Linked DNA regions of Nothobranchius furzeri. The protein of the gene in region 3 purifies or fractionates together with the protein of the main gene of each other region. This does not show direct contact. Links are inferred from orthologs where the notes say so. Each region holds a gene or a part of one and is shown on either strand. Other genes may lie near its edges.

Evidence for each region. The genes of interacting proteins can lie anywhere in the genome.
Region 1: the proteins of ppp3cca (region 3) and rcan3 purify together in Homo sapiens (affinity purification with mass spectrometry; 3 studies listed by BioGRID and IntAct, counting the BioPlex papers as one, with this or other methods). This does not show direct contact. The link is inferred for Nothobranchius furzeri from reciprocal best matches to the Homo sapiens genes PPP3CC and RCAN3.
Region 2: the proteins of ppp3cca (region 3) and rcan1b purify together in Homo sapiens (affinity purification with mass spectrometry; 3 studies listed by BioGRID and IntAct, counting the BioPlex papers as one, with this or other methods). This does not show direct contact. The link is inferred for Nothobranchius furzeri from reciprocal best matches to the Homo sapiens genes PPP3CC and RCAN1.

Annotation. Positions count from the first base shown.
Region 1 is NC_091758.1:28,327,939-28,331,438, forward strand, and holds part of rcan3 (calcipressin-3), read left to right. Parts: intron 1-2,745; coding exon 2,746-2,919; intron 2,920-3,500.
Region 2 is NC_091743.1:81,115,966-81,120,190, forward strand, and holds the end of rcan1b (calcipressin-1), read left to right. Parts: intron 1-609; exon of another isoform or gene 610-836; coding exon of another isoform or gene 837-923; intron 924-2,146; coding exon 2,147-2,320; intron 2,321-2,531; coding exon 2,532-2,691; intron 2,692-3,314; coding exon 3,315-3,496; 3' UTR 3,497-3,725; downstream 3,726-4,225. UniProt on the Homo sapiens protein: Inhibits calcineurin-dependent transcriptional responses by binding to the catalytic domain of calcineurin A. Could play a role during central nervous system development.
Region 3 is NC_091757.1:27,072,524-27,076,023, reverse strand, and holds part of ppp3cca (protein phosphatase 3, catalytic subunit, gamma isozyme, a), read left to right. Parts: intron 1-1,588; coding exon 1,589-1,734; intron 1,735-1,862; coding exon 1,863-2,002; intron 2,003-3,036; coding exon 3,037-3,114; intron 3,115-3,196; coding exon 3,197-3,291; intron 3,292-3,379; coding exon 3,380-3,500. UniProt on the Homo sapiens protein: Calcium-dependent, calmodulin-stimulated protein phosphatase which plays an essential role in the transduction of intracellular Ca(2+)-mediated signals. Dephosphorylates and activates transcription factor NFATC1.

The DNA.
Region 1 (3,500 bases), on a different chromosome or scaffold from region 3:
GATGCCTCATGGACACCTTCCTGGTGAGGTTTTCCTTACACCTCCAACCAGGAGGAGACCTAAAGGAAGACCCAGGACACGCTGGAGGGACTATGTGTTTTGGTTGGCCAGGGAACGCCTTGGGATTCCCTCGGAGGAGCTGGCCCAGGTGGCTTAGGCTGTTGCTCTCGCGACCCGACTTTGGATAAGCAGATGAAAATGGATGGCTTAGTTCCAGTGCTGCTACAGAGAAAAACTACAAAGACGGCACATGTTTGAAACGGCTTTGGCATCAACTTTGGATGATTTAGACTTTGAGACACGAGCAGATATAAGTACTTAAGTCCTTCACATGGAAGAAAAGATGTATTTGTTTCTTTTTCTTCGACGTGGATGGCAGACTGCCTTGTTGACTGATTTCTGCAATAACGAATATGTCACGTTTTTTTTGTTGCTCTGATTGGTGTTAGTGGTGTCCAACAGCATGCAGAAACAGTTTGAAGGACAACTGTAGATTCTGCCCCACGACTGAGTTCTGTCTGCGGGACTCGTGAGCAGGCTGGATGTTCTCAAGTAAATGAAAAGCTAAATAAATAAAAGCTGATAGTCGTAAAGTCTTTCCTCCTTTTTGTTTTAGAATAAATACATTTAGGATATTATTGTATGTTTTAGTTTAGTTCTCTCTCTGTTGCCATACAGACTTTTTTAGGCCCAGTAAAACATTGTGGCTGCGTCTCTGCTCGTCATTAACTCACACTGAACCAGTGCCACTATGGAACCCATTAGCCATCAATCTGGGCTGTTGAGCGAGTGGTAAATTTGCTACTGGCAAAAAAAGTTATGAGGATATTTGTAACACTTGAGCACTGTTTTGTTTTTATTGTTTTGCAGCAGCATGAGGAGGAAATTAAAACTAACAGGAAAAGAACAACAAAGACTACTCAGGAGCGTCAAATAGGTGGTGCAAGAATCTGGCGATACGATATAAATCACAATACGGGGGAAATACAGGGGAGACAATACGATATATGACGATACTAAAAGCCAGACAATATTTGCGATTTTTAAATCAGAATTTCACTGGAAAACTCAGTCTTCCAACAAGACACATATAGCCTGGCCTGCCAGACTCGTCCTCTGTTTAATTCTGCACAGAGACAGAGTCTGGTAACTCACAGGCAGAGAGGCACTTGAGGGGCGGGACTAGGCAGCTCAGAAATAACCAATCAGATAAAAGACGGAAATGCCGACTGTACCGCGCGACGCTGCAGTATTTTTAGCTGCAGTAAAAACAGGCGTCTGGCAAACATCTTTTTTTTTTTTTTTTTAGAAGAAATGCTTTTAGTGCTTCCACTTGTTGCTTTAAAGACATTCAAGTCCTTTAGAACAGAGAAAAGAGCCGCAGCGAACGTCGCCGCTGTCTTCGTTGTTTATGAGAAACTGAGCATCGCTGTGTGTGACGTCCGCGACGCTGTAGCTTTTCAGCTGTAGTCAAAAATGGCGTCTGGCGACAGCGCAAACATATTTCTTTAGAAGAAATGCTTTTAGCGCTTCTACTTGTTGTTTTAAAGACGTGTCCAAGTCATTTAGAACAGAGGAAAGAGCCGCAGCGAACTCTGCTTCAGTCACCATGTTTATGACAAACTCGGCATCGTGGTGTGTGACGTACGCTACTCAGCGCTGATTGGCTCGGTTAGAATTCTCAGGGGGTGGGGTTATTTGAATGAGAACTTTAGATCATTTTCCATTGAATTGAATCACCACGATGGGCAACATTACGCTTGTTTTTGCAGCTTTTTATTTTTAATTTTTTTACTTCAGTACCTAACATTAACTAAAAGTGCACAGTGCTGACAGAGCACTGGGACGAGGCCTAGTACTTGGCTCTGTGTGACGAGTCGACAGATTCCTACCATCTCCTGTCACCGTGCTGTCACTACTCCACACAGGTGCATGTTGACGTGCTGCCTGTGCTCCAGGCTCCTTCGGGTGCTCTTTCCATCCTGATGAGAGCTGCTGTCTCAGCTGATCAGGGGGAAGTGTTTTTAGTTTCAGAAAAGGGAGTTGTGGCCAGATAAAAAGTTACCTCAGAGTAACAGGATTAGAGGCTGATCTCTGAGCAGTGGGTACCAATTGACATCAGCACCAGGTCAGGAGGAGCACGGGTGAATTAAAAGGAAAGGAACACTTGTGCAAACTTCTACTTATTTGCTAATTATGTTGGAGAAGCTGTTGATCCTTCCTCTTTTCAGAAAGGCACATCCAGTCCATCGCTCGTCTTTATTCTTAGAATGAAGCCTCCTTCTCTAGCGGGTTGCACCCGCTGCTGGGAGATGGTCGACAAAGAAACAAAGAAAACGCTACTCATTTCTCAGAAATCAGCTCTCCTGGTGGCTGCTTTCCTGCTGAGGTGCTTGATTGAGTTCACAGTAGAAGTTGCCAGTTTGGTACCTAAGCAGAGGGCTGACTTCAAAGTAAAGAGAAAAAAAAAGATGAAACCTAAAGTAAAAGCTGGGGATGAGCCGAAAGAGAGGAGAGGTTTTTAATAAGGTCAGAACTAAGGGGCAAAAGGTCTGTGAGTCAAAGCTGCACATCAAATTTCTTCATCAAGTTAATCACATACTGAGAGGGTGAGGAGAGGAGTGCTGTGTTGCAGCGGCCGAGGTGTCCGAACGTCTTCAGTCACATTTAAGATCAAATGTGTGGCGTGTTTTAGCGAAGAGTGTGCAGCTGCTGATGGTCTCTTTATGTCTTCATTTTCCACAGGAGAGGTTTGAAGCCTTGTTTAGGATCTACGATGAGCAGGTGACTTTCCAGATGTTCAAGAGCTTCAGGAGAGTCCGGATCAACTTCAGCACTCCCGAGGCGGCCGCTCGAGCCCGCATCGAGCTGCACGAGTCAGAGTTCAACGGCAAGAAGTTAAAACTCTACTTTGCCCAAGTGAGTTTCTACGATCAAGGGGAAAGCACAGAATTAAAGCTCTGCGGCGTTCTCGCTAACATGCACTCGGCATGGGGCCATGGCCAACCCTGGAAGATTTCTGGCCACCCCACCAATACTCTTCAGTAAATCATAATCATGTTCACACAAAACATATTACTCTTATCAAGACAAATGTGAAAGTTAATAAATAAAATGTATATCTATTGAGTAAATAAATCACAATTTAAATAAATGTTGCAGAGGCTCACCACTTCAATAGTTTTTGTGTATTCTTTTAAGACCACAACAGTGATTTAAACCATTCTAAAACACTAAAACAATACATTTTGAAACAATAAATAAAATGATTCATGTATTTTTTCTGAAATGTTTGGGTTTCTCAAATTGTCAGTCAATGAGTTGCAATGCTTACACATACATGCTTGACAAGTAATTAAAATTGCGCCCACATTTTCGGAGTTAACACACATCTCTTCAGTGGCGGAGTGGTAATCTGGAAAAACGGGAGATTTCCCGGTGGCCTGGCCGTTAAACTGGCCCACTCAGTAATTGCCGGTCATGACTAGCGTAATATCTAA
Region 2 (4,225 bases), on a different chromosome or scaffold from region 3:
CTTTTAGTTGCTGACCTCACACTCGGGTCAGAGTTTTAGTTTTGTTTTTTGTTTTTTTCTTCAATGGAAAATTCAGAGACGCTCAGAGGCACAAAGGATTTATTTTTAAACGCGGCAAGGAACAGATGATGGAGTCATTTGACTCTGATGTCATCATTCTTCATTATTTCTCTCACACTTACCCTTGTTTCTATGTGATTCGTCAGCGTTGGTCGGTGGAAGGAATAAAAAACGCCCCTCCCTCCCCCTGTATGTATATATATAAAACAGGCTGTCAGTGAATGGGCATGAGGAAGGCTGGGAGGAAGGAAAGGGGGAGGGGGCTGGTGCCAATGCGTCATCGTCCTCATTTGAATGGCTGTAAAGCAGAATGAGAGAGGGAAGCTTAGAGGAAGCTGAATGACATTTTCAGCTTTCCACACCCAATTCTCTGGAACATTCCTTCATTCTGCATTCTCACACTGAGCTGACTTTCTGAGAGTGTCTGGAGGAGGCTGACAGACGAAGATCGGACTGTAAGAGCTGATTCAGACTCGGTAACCTTGACATCGGGATTAGGAGGCTTTCTGTTTCCAGACTTGTATGTTTCACATTGTGTTCCTTGTGAGGACCGAGAAGATGTGCTCCTAGAGAACAAGATCCAGGAAATAAAACGGATATATTTTAACTTTAGAAGCTTCAATCCCTTTCTGCTTCTCCACCACCCTGGGGAAGGCAACGCTCCCCCGTCTTGACCTCCGTCCTCTTTACCTCTGCTGAAGAGCCTCTTAGCATCCCGTCGGGCCTTGACCTCCGATATCAGGTGGAAACGTTTTTTTCTTCCTGGATCACCGGCCATGCATATTAAGACCAGCAAGTGTAACCGCTTCTGCCTGGTAGCATCCCTGACCAGTCGGGAAGTGTTCCATCGACACGAGGCACAGGTAAGTACAGGACCTCCTGCCTGAGTGAGGAGGAAGTTGAATATGGAATAGCTAAAATACCTATTGTGTCCATAGAGCAGTGATGTTTTTGACTCTAGTGGTCCAAATCCTGGACACTGTACTGCAGATTCCCTCAATCCAGGCTCATCCATGTCTCCATGGTCCTTCAGAGCTCTAACAAATTAGTCGTTAGTGTACAAAAAAACCAGCAATGCCCCTATTTTGCAAGATATTGGTATTTGGGTCTGTACTGGTTAGACTTAAATGAGTTACACCAAGGTCTATAGCCCTCGGGTCATAAACTGTGAGTAAGTATATTGGTCTTTTTATACTAGGAATCAGGAGTTATTTTAGTGATCATCTTGATTCTCATTTATTTTTGTCCTGATTGTGCCATGAGCAAATTTATGAGCGAATAAAAACAAATAAAATCAACATTAATTGAGAAATCGTCTTAAATAATCGAGATCTCAATTTCAGTCACAATAATCGTGATTATTATTTTTGCTATAATCGAGCAGCCCTAATCTATCGGTTTTATAAGTAAAAATGGACCAACATGAACAAATTTGTATTTTTCCACCCAGTGGCTTGTGTAGGTTGTGTGTCTGATTCAGGAAGGTAGGGTGGTGGTCATGTGACAGCGATAGTAATAATCTCAGAAGCATAAGTGTGTGTTTATGTTATAATATATGAATATCTTATATATATATATATAATGTGTGTGTGTGTGTGTGTGTGTGTGTGTGTGTGTGTGTGTGTGTGTGTGTGTAGTGTTCAGCCATTGGCTCATATTTTCACATCCCGATTTACCTCTTTTGAATAAAATCCGTTCTGTGACTCATGACATATTTTTGCTCATGGAAATTTAAATGGGTGAAGCTCGATTGCATTTTGTTTGGTGGTGATGGAAAATAAACAGGATTAAATGGATCATTTGGATCTTTAGAAGAGGGTTTCCATGGAAATGTTAAGAATATCTGTTGCAGATGCTGGATCTGACTAGAGCGGTGAGCTAAAAGCCAATCTCACTACAATTAAGTCCTATCTAATAATTAACTATCATTTTGTGAAGGTGCTAATGTATAAAGACTTACTCCACTGTTGATTTAGTTTAGTTGAGCATTGTTTAGTCTTTTGATAGTTGTGATTCACTTCAGCTTTAGCCAGCAGCTCCTTTCCTCCTCATCTAACTGTTGTCGGACCTCTTGTCTTGTCTCCAGGTCAGTTTTGAGTCCTTGTTCCGTTCCTTCGACCCAGAAGTGCAGTTCCACTACTTCCGGTCCTTCCGGCGTGTCAGGATCAGCTTCAGCGACCCACTAGCAGCAGCTGAGGCCAGACTTAGACTGAACAAGTCTGACTTCAGAGGAAAAGAGCTGAGGCTTTACTTTGCTCAGGTAAAGTCAGAATAAAAGTCCTGTGGGTCACGCCCACTCCTTAATCCTTTTACTGATTGTGTGATCGTTTGTGTTTGTAACCAGTTAGTTATTATTTACAAGATACAATTTAGCTTTGTTGTTGAGCTCTTTATAGCTTCTATAGGTTTCTGATTGGTCTCCCTTTCCTGATCTGTTGTCTCAAACATAATCTGGCGCTTCTGTCTTCCAGTCCGTTCACATTGGGAGTCCTCGTCTGGAACCTCCCAAACCAGAGAAGCAGTTCCTCATCTCCCCACCTGCCTCTCCTCCAGTCGGCTGGGAGCAGTCTCAGGATGCTACACCGGTGATCAACTATGACCTTCTGTGTGCCATCTCCAAACTAGGACCAGGTACGGCACATGGCAGATCAGGGTTTCAGTTAGGAACTCAAACCCTTTCATCAGAGCGCCCGACTCTGTCTCGGTTACAGAACAGAACCTTTGATGTGGTTTAGACTCTTCTGAATGTCTAAAGGAGGTTCTACTTGTTGTTGCATTAGTGTGATGGACGATGTCCTTCCTTTTTCAGTTAACAACCATGACCTGCTGTGTGTTTATACATTTAAGGTTAGATAAAGTATAAATGAAGGGCGGACTGAAAACTCGAGGTCCTTCCTCTGGTGGATGGGTCTAATTGTCTCAAGGTCTTGCTCCTGAGTCTGCGGGGGCTGCTACCCCCGGGACCCAGACCCAGCTAGGAAGAGGACAAAAAGGTGGATTTAAATAATTGTAGAACCTGGCAAAGTCCAGATGAATGTTCCTCTTAAATCCACTTCAGCCTCAGAAACTAGTTGGCTCTCCAAACCTTTTTTAACTCGCTTGGACTCACAAAAGAGTGTTACGAGCACCATCTAGTGGACATCTCAGGGTTCCAGTCAGAGCCGTCAGCTCTGTTGGTCATAGTTTCTTGAGTTTGAAGTGTTCATAGAAGCGACTTCTCCTCTGTGTAAATCCCCCTGCATTTTGACCTTTAGGGGAAACGTATGAGCTTCACACTGCCACGCCCACTACTCCCAGCGTGGTCGTCCATGTGTGTGAGGACGACGAGCACGATGACGGTTCAGCGCCCAGCGACCAGGACGAGACGGCCCGCCCACCTCGGCCAAAGATCATGCAGACCCGACGCCCCGACTACACACCCGGAGTGGAGCAGTGAGCAGGCTGCACTGGGACAACTGGAGAAACTGGTCATGAACAGAATGAGCTCACAGATGTTCTGAGACGGGGTTTTAAAACCACCCGAGGAGGCTGGAGTGTCCTGTAGACGAGCATTTCATAGTAGAACACAAATGTCGTGGGAAATCCATAACCACTGGAAGAATTTAGCCATCAGATAACATGTAGTGTTTAAGACATTAAGTTGAATCGAACGTGTAAAACTGCCTGAGCGGATATTTATTCTCCACTGCTCTTTCGAAAATAGCTCAAGTTTTTGGTGACATTTAAAAGAAAACTGACCACGATCAAGTGGTTTCCTTATGAAGTCCTGAAAGGAGAACTTGCTGTGTGTTTTTGGTGTGCCACAGATGAGTAGAAGCTGATGAGCTCCCACTGACCTGATGCTTTGATCTCATGAATGAAATCATTCTGGCCCTGCTGCTCCTGACCTATCACAACGGTCTTCATACATAAACATCTCTGGCCTGAGCAGAGAGCACTCCTCTGACTGTGCTGTTTGAGGTTTGTTGTAGTTTGACTTTCTATAAGAAAATGTGGGGCGCAAGTCCCTCAGTTTAAGTGTGTTACATAGTATTGAGTCAGTATTTAACCATTTAAAGCCTGAGACAGGAAATCATCAGAAAAGGATTTAAGGAGGCCTGATGTTTATTGGCTAAGGGCTCTGCTCCTGAATAACTTTTTTCGCCACCAAACCAGTTCCACTCAG
Region 3 (3,500 bases):
GGACAAGGTGATGCGCCCCGCTCCACAGCAGCGAAACGCATCAGGCGCAAATAAAAGACAGAAAACATTAAAGGAAATGAACCGACATGAACGATCGCGTGTCAGTACCGACGCTCTGGCACAGCGCGTTGCCCCCCCCCCCCCCAGCGCAGGAGCTTGTCACCTGCTGACAGCAGGCTGCTGTCTTTTCCGAGGGCTGCATCTTGCCGGTCATTATCAAGTGACAGCGACTAGTCGACGACAGGCATAAAAAGTCACTATAGTGAAGTCGACTAGTTCATACAACCCCTGCTACTGCTCCCCAGAGTGTTCTGCAGCATAATCAGCACGTTCTCTTTGAACTTGATATCAAATTTTCGCCTCCTCTTCGTCTCCGCACGGTTAAAGTTACCCTCGCGGTCTATCACTGGCAAATCAAAAGTGAGACGATGGCACAACCGCCCTCCGTACTTGCTTGTTACCACATTCCACCCGGCCACAATAAGAGACCGGCCATTATTCACCTCCACCGACTCCGACACCGGCCAAAATATGAGACCAGGCAGTTAATTAAATACAGGCCTGTATTAGAGGATTTACGGTAAGCACGTTCTTGGTATCAAAATGAATCTTTAAAATTCACGGACATCATAGTCTGTTTCATTGCTTTGATCTTGGATCTGGAGCAGGAGAACTACTCCAGCTGCTTCTTGAGGGACAGAAGCTCTTTGAGGGCATAGATGGCTGGTGGGAGTGTGTCTACTTGTGTGTGTATGGGGGCTGGTACAAAACTTAAGGACAAGACCCTCCAGACCTGTTGTGAAGTCATGAAGCTTTTTTCAATCATCATTTATGAGAAAGTTGTGTGTGTGTGTGTGTGTGTGTGTGTGTGTGTGTGTGTGTGTGTGTGTGTGTGTGTGTGTGTGTGTGTGTGTGTGTGTGTGTGTGTGTGTGTGTGTGTGTGTGTGTGTGTGTGTGTGTGTGTGTGTACGTCTTCACGATGTTGCCTCTCGTCAGTGCCGCCTGCACTAGCTTGATAAGCAGCCTGTTTTCGCTCATGCTTTTCTTTTTCTTCACTTGAAAATAAGTAAATTTATAAAAGAGAATAATGTGCAGACTTTTCTTTCACCCATTCCTGGAGGTACTGCTGCGTTTTAATCTACTCTTTATATGAAATATACAAACATTCTATGTGGTAAAAACAATCTTTATTTTAGTGCGTCTCCTCTCAGCCTCACAGTTCATTGGTGGGTCACTGTGCTTTTTAATCCTAGTAATAATGTTTGTAAAATTCAGACTAAGGTAGATTTTTGTTTTAGAGCGTTTTCACATCATTGGTAGGGTCGCATGAATTTTTTTAATCAGACTTAATTTTATGATTTTTATCTTGTTGTCCACTTGTATGGTTTCTCAACATCTTGTGAGTTTATTTTCAAATATTAAAAAAAGTACAAATAAATACAGAAAATGTTTTTTCAGTTCAAGAGAGCAAAAATATTAGTTTGGACCTAAAAGCCCTCGGCTAACGTGTTTAGCTGTCGCTGGCTAACAGGCTAACTAACGCTAGCCCACAGTGCTGAGTCTTGTTTTCTCCATGTTTGTGTTTCAGGTAAAATCAAATATTCTGAGCGGGTTTATGACGCCTGTATGGAAGCCTTTGACTGCCTGCCCCTCGCCGCTCTGCTTAACCAGCAGTTCCTGTGTGTACACGGGGGGCTCTCACCAGAAATAAACTGCTTAGATGACATAAGAAAGGTCAGTGATTCACTCACTCTTTCCTTTCGTGTGTTCCTTATGAATCGAGTGTTTTCTAACATTTGATTACCCAGTTATCTTCTGTATGTAACTTTCCATTGCTCTGCTGTCCCGTCTGTGTTTAACAGTTAGACAGATTTAAAGAGCCGCCAGCATTTGGGCCCATGTGTGACCTGATTTGGGCTGACCCCGGTGAGGACTACGGCAGTGAAAAAACATCTGAACACTTCAACCATAATTCTGTTAGAGGCTGCTCCTACTTTTTCAGGTATTGGGTCAGACCTCTGATTTTAGAGCCCTACTACCTTCTGATTTTCTAAATGAAGTTCAGAACAGCCCGTGGGACTTTTGAAGACTGCATTTGGTTGTTTTACTGTAGAGTTCTGAGTATTTTTCTCATTAAACTATTGTAATGAATAATGGGTTTGGTGCTGACTAAAACCTTCAACTAACCACCGAGAGGTCGCTGGTTCACAATAGAAAGTCTTTTTATTAAAGCACAGCACAATAATCCCGCTGCACCAATAAAACTATCCCTCCACCAGAGCTCCACGTCTGCTTATAGACGACTGTTCTCCAAACAACGAGCGTTCTCCTCACCGGTCTTGTAGATCATTCTCGCGTTCATCCACACCTGATCAACTCCGCCTCCTTCACATCACACTATTTGAACAGTTCAGTTGTTTAAAGGAGACTTATCAGAGCTTTTCTTCTAGTTCTAATGTTGATACAAAACATGCTTATGTAGTGCTTTGCAGTAAATCACTCTCATACAGTTATTTTATTCATGATATTTTTAGGACCTTCCAGAATGAGTCGTTTCAGAGCTCAGTTACTTTAAGAAAACAAGCTACATCTGGACACGCCCACCGACAAGAGCAAGTTATGTGTTAAGCGAGTTTTTAAGAACATTTTAAACCAAATGAGTGAAATGTTGTTGTTTTTTTTAATCAGTAATGTGTCCCAGTTTACAGTAAAAAAACATCTCATTAATCTAAGGCTGTCATTATGATGCACCTAAACTTGTGCCTATCCATTCATTTTTAACATTGGTCTAGAATAATCCAGTCCAGGTTTGAAAAGTCTTGGTCAGTGGTCCTCAATAGGCGACCCGCGGGCTCCCTCTTTGTGGCCCCTGAACCCCGCGCGCACCCCACGCATGAATTTTTGTCCCAGTTTGCCCCTGAACAAATCCCACACTGGTTACCTTTATAATGAGACCAAAGGAATCAAATAGACCTGGTTACAGAAATATACTCAGTAACGTGTGGGTCTGTTATCTGTGCTTCACTGTGTTTGCAGTTATTCAGCCGTCTGTGACTTTTTGGTAAATAACAACTTGCTTTCAGTAATAAGAGCCCATGAAGCTCAGGATGCTGGGTAAGTGTTATAATGGTTGTTCATTTAAAGCATTTTACAGTTTCGGGACTAATAATCATGTTTAAATTTTGTTGCTGTGCAGGTATCGGATGTACAGAAAAAGCCAGACCACAGGGTTCCCTTCATTAATTACTATATTTTCAGCTCCCAATTACCTAGATGTCTACAACAATAAAGGTTATCAGCGTTTTTCCTGTTTTTATATAAATATCTAAGCATGAGATAAGATCCCACCCCTGAAATCCCCCGTTTTTGTCATTTCCAGCTGCTGTATTAAAATATGAGAACAACGTGATGAACATCCGACAGTTCAACTGCTCCCCCCACCCCTACTGGTTACCCAACTTCATGGATGTCTTCACGTGGTCTTTGCCTTTTGTTGGAGA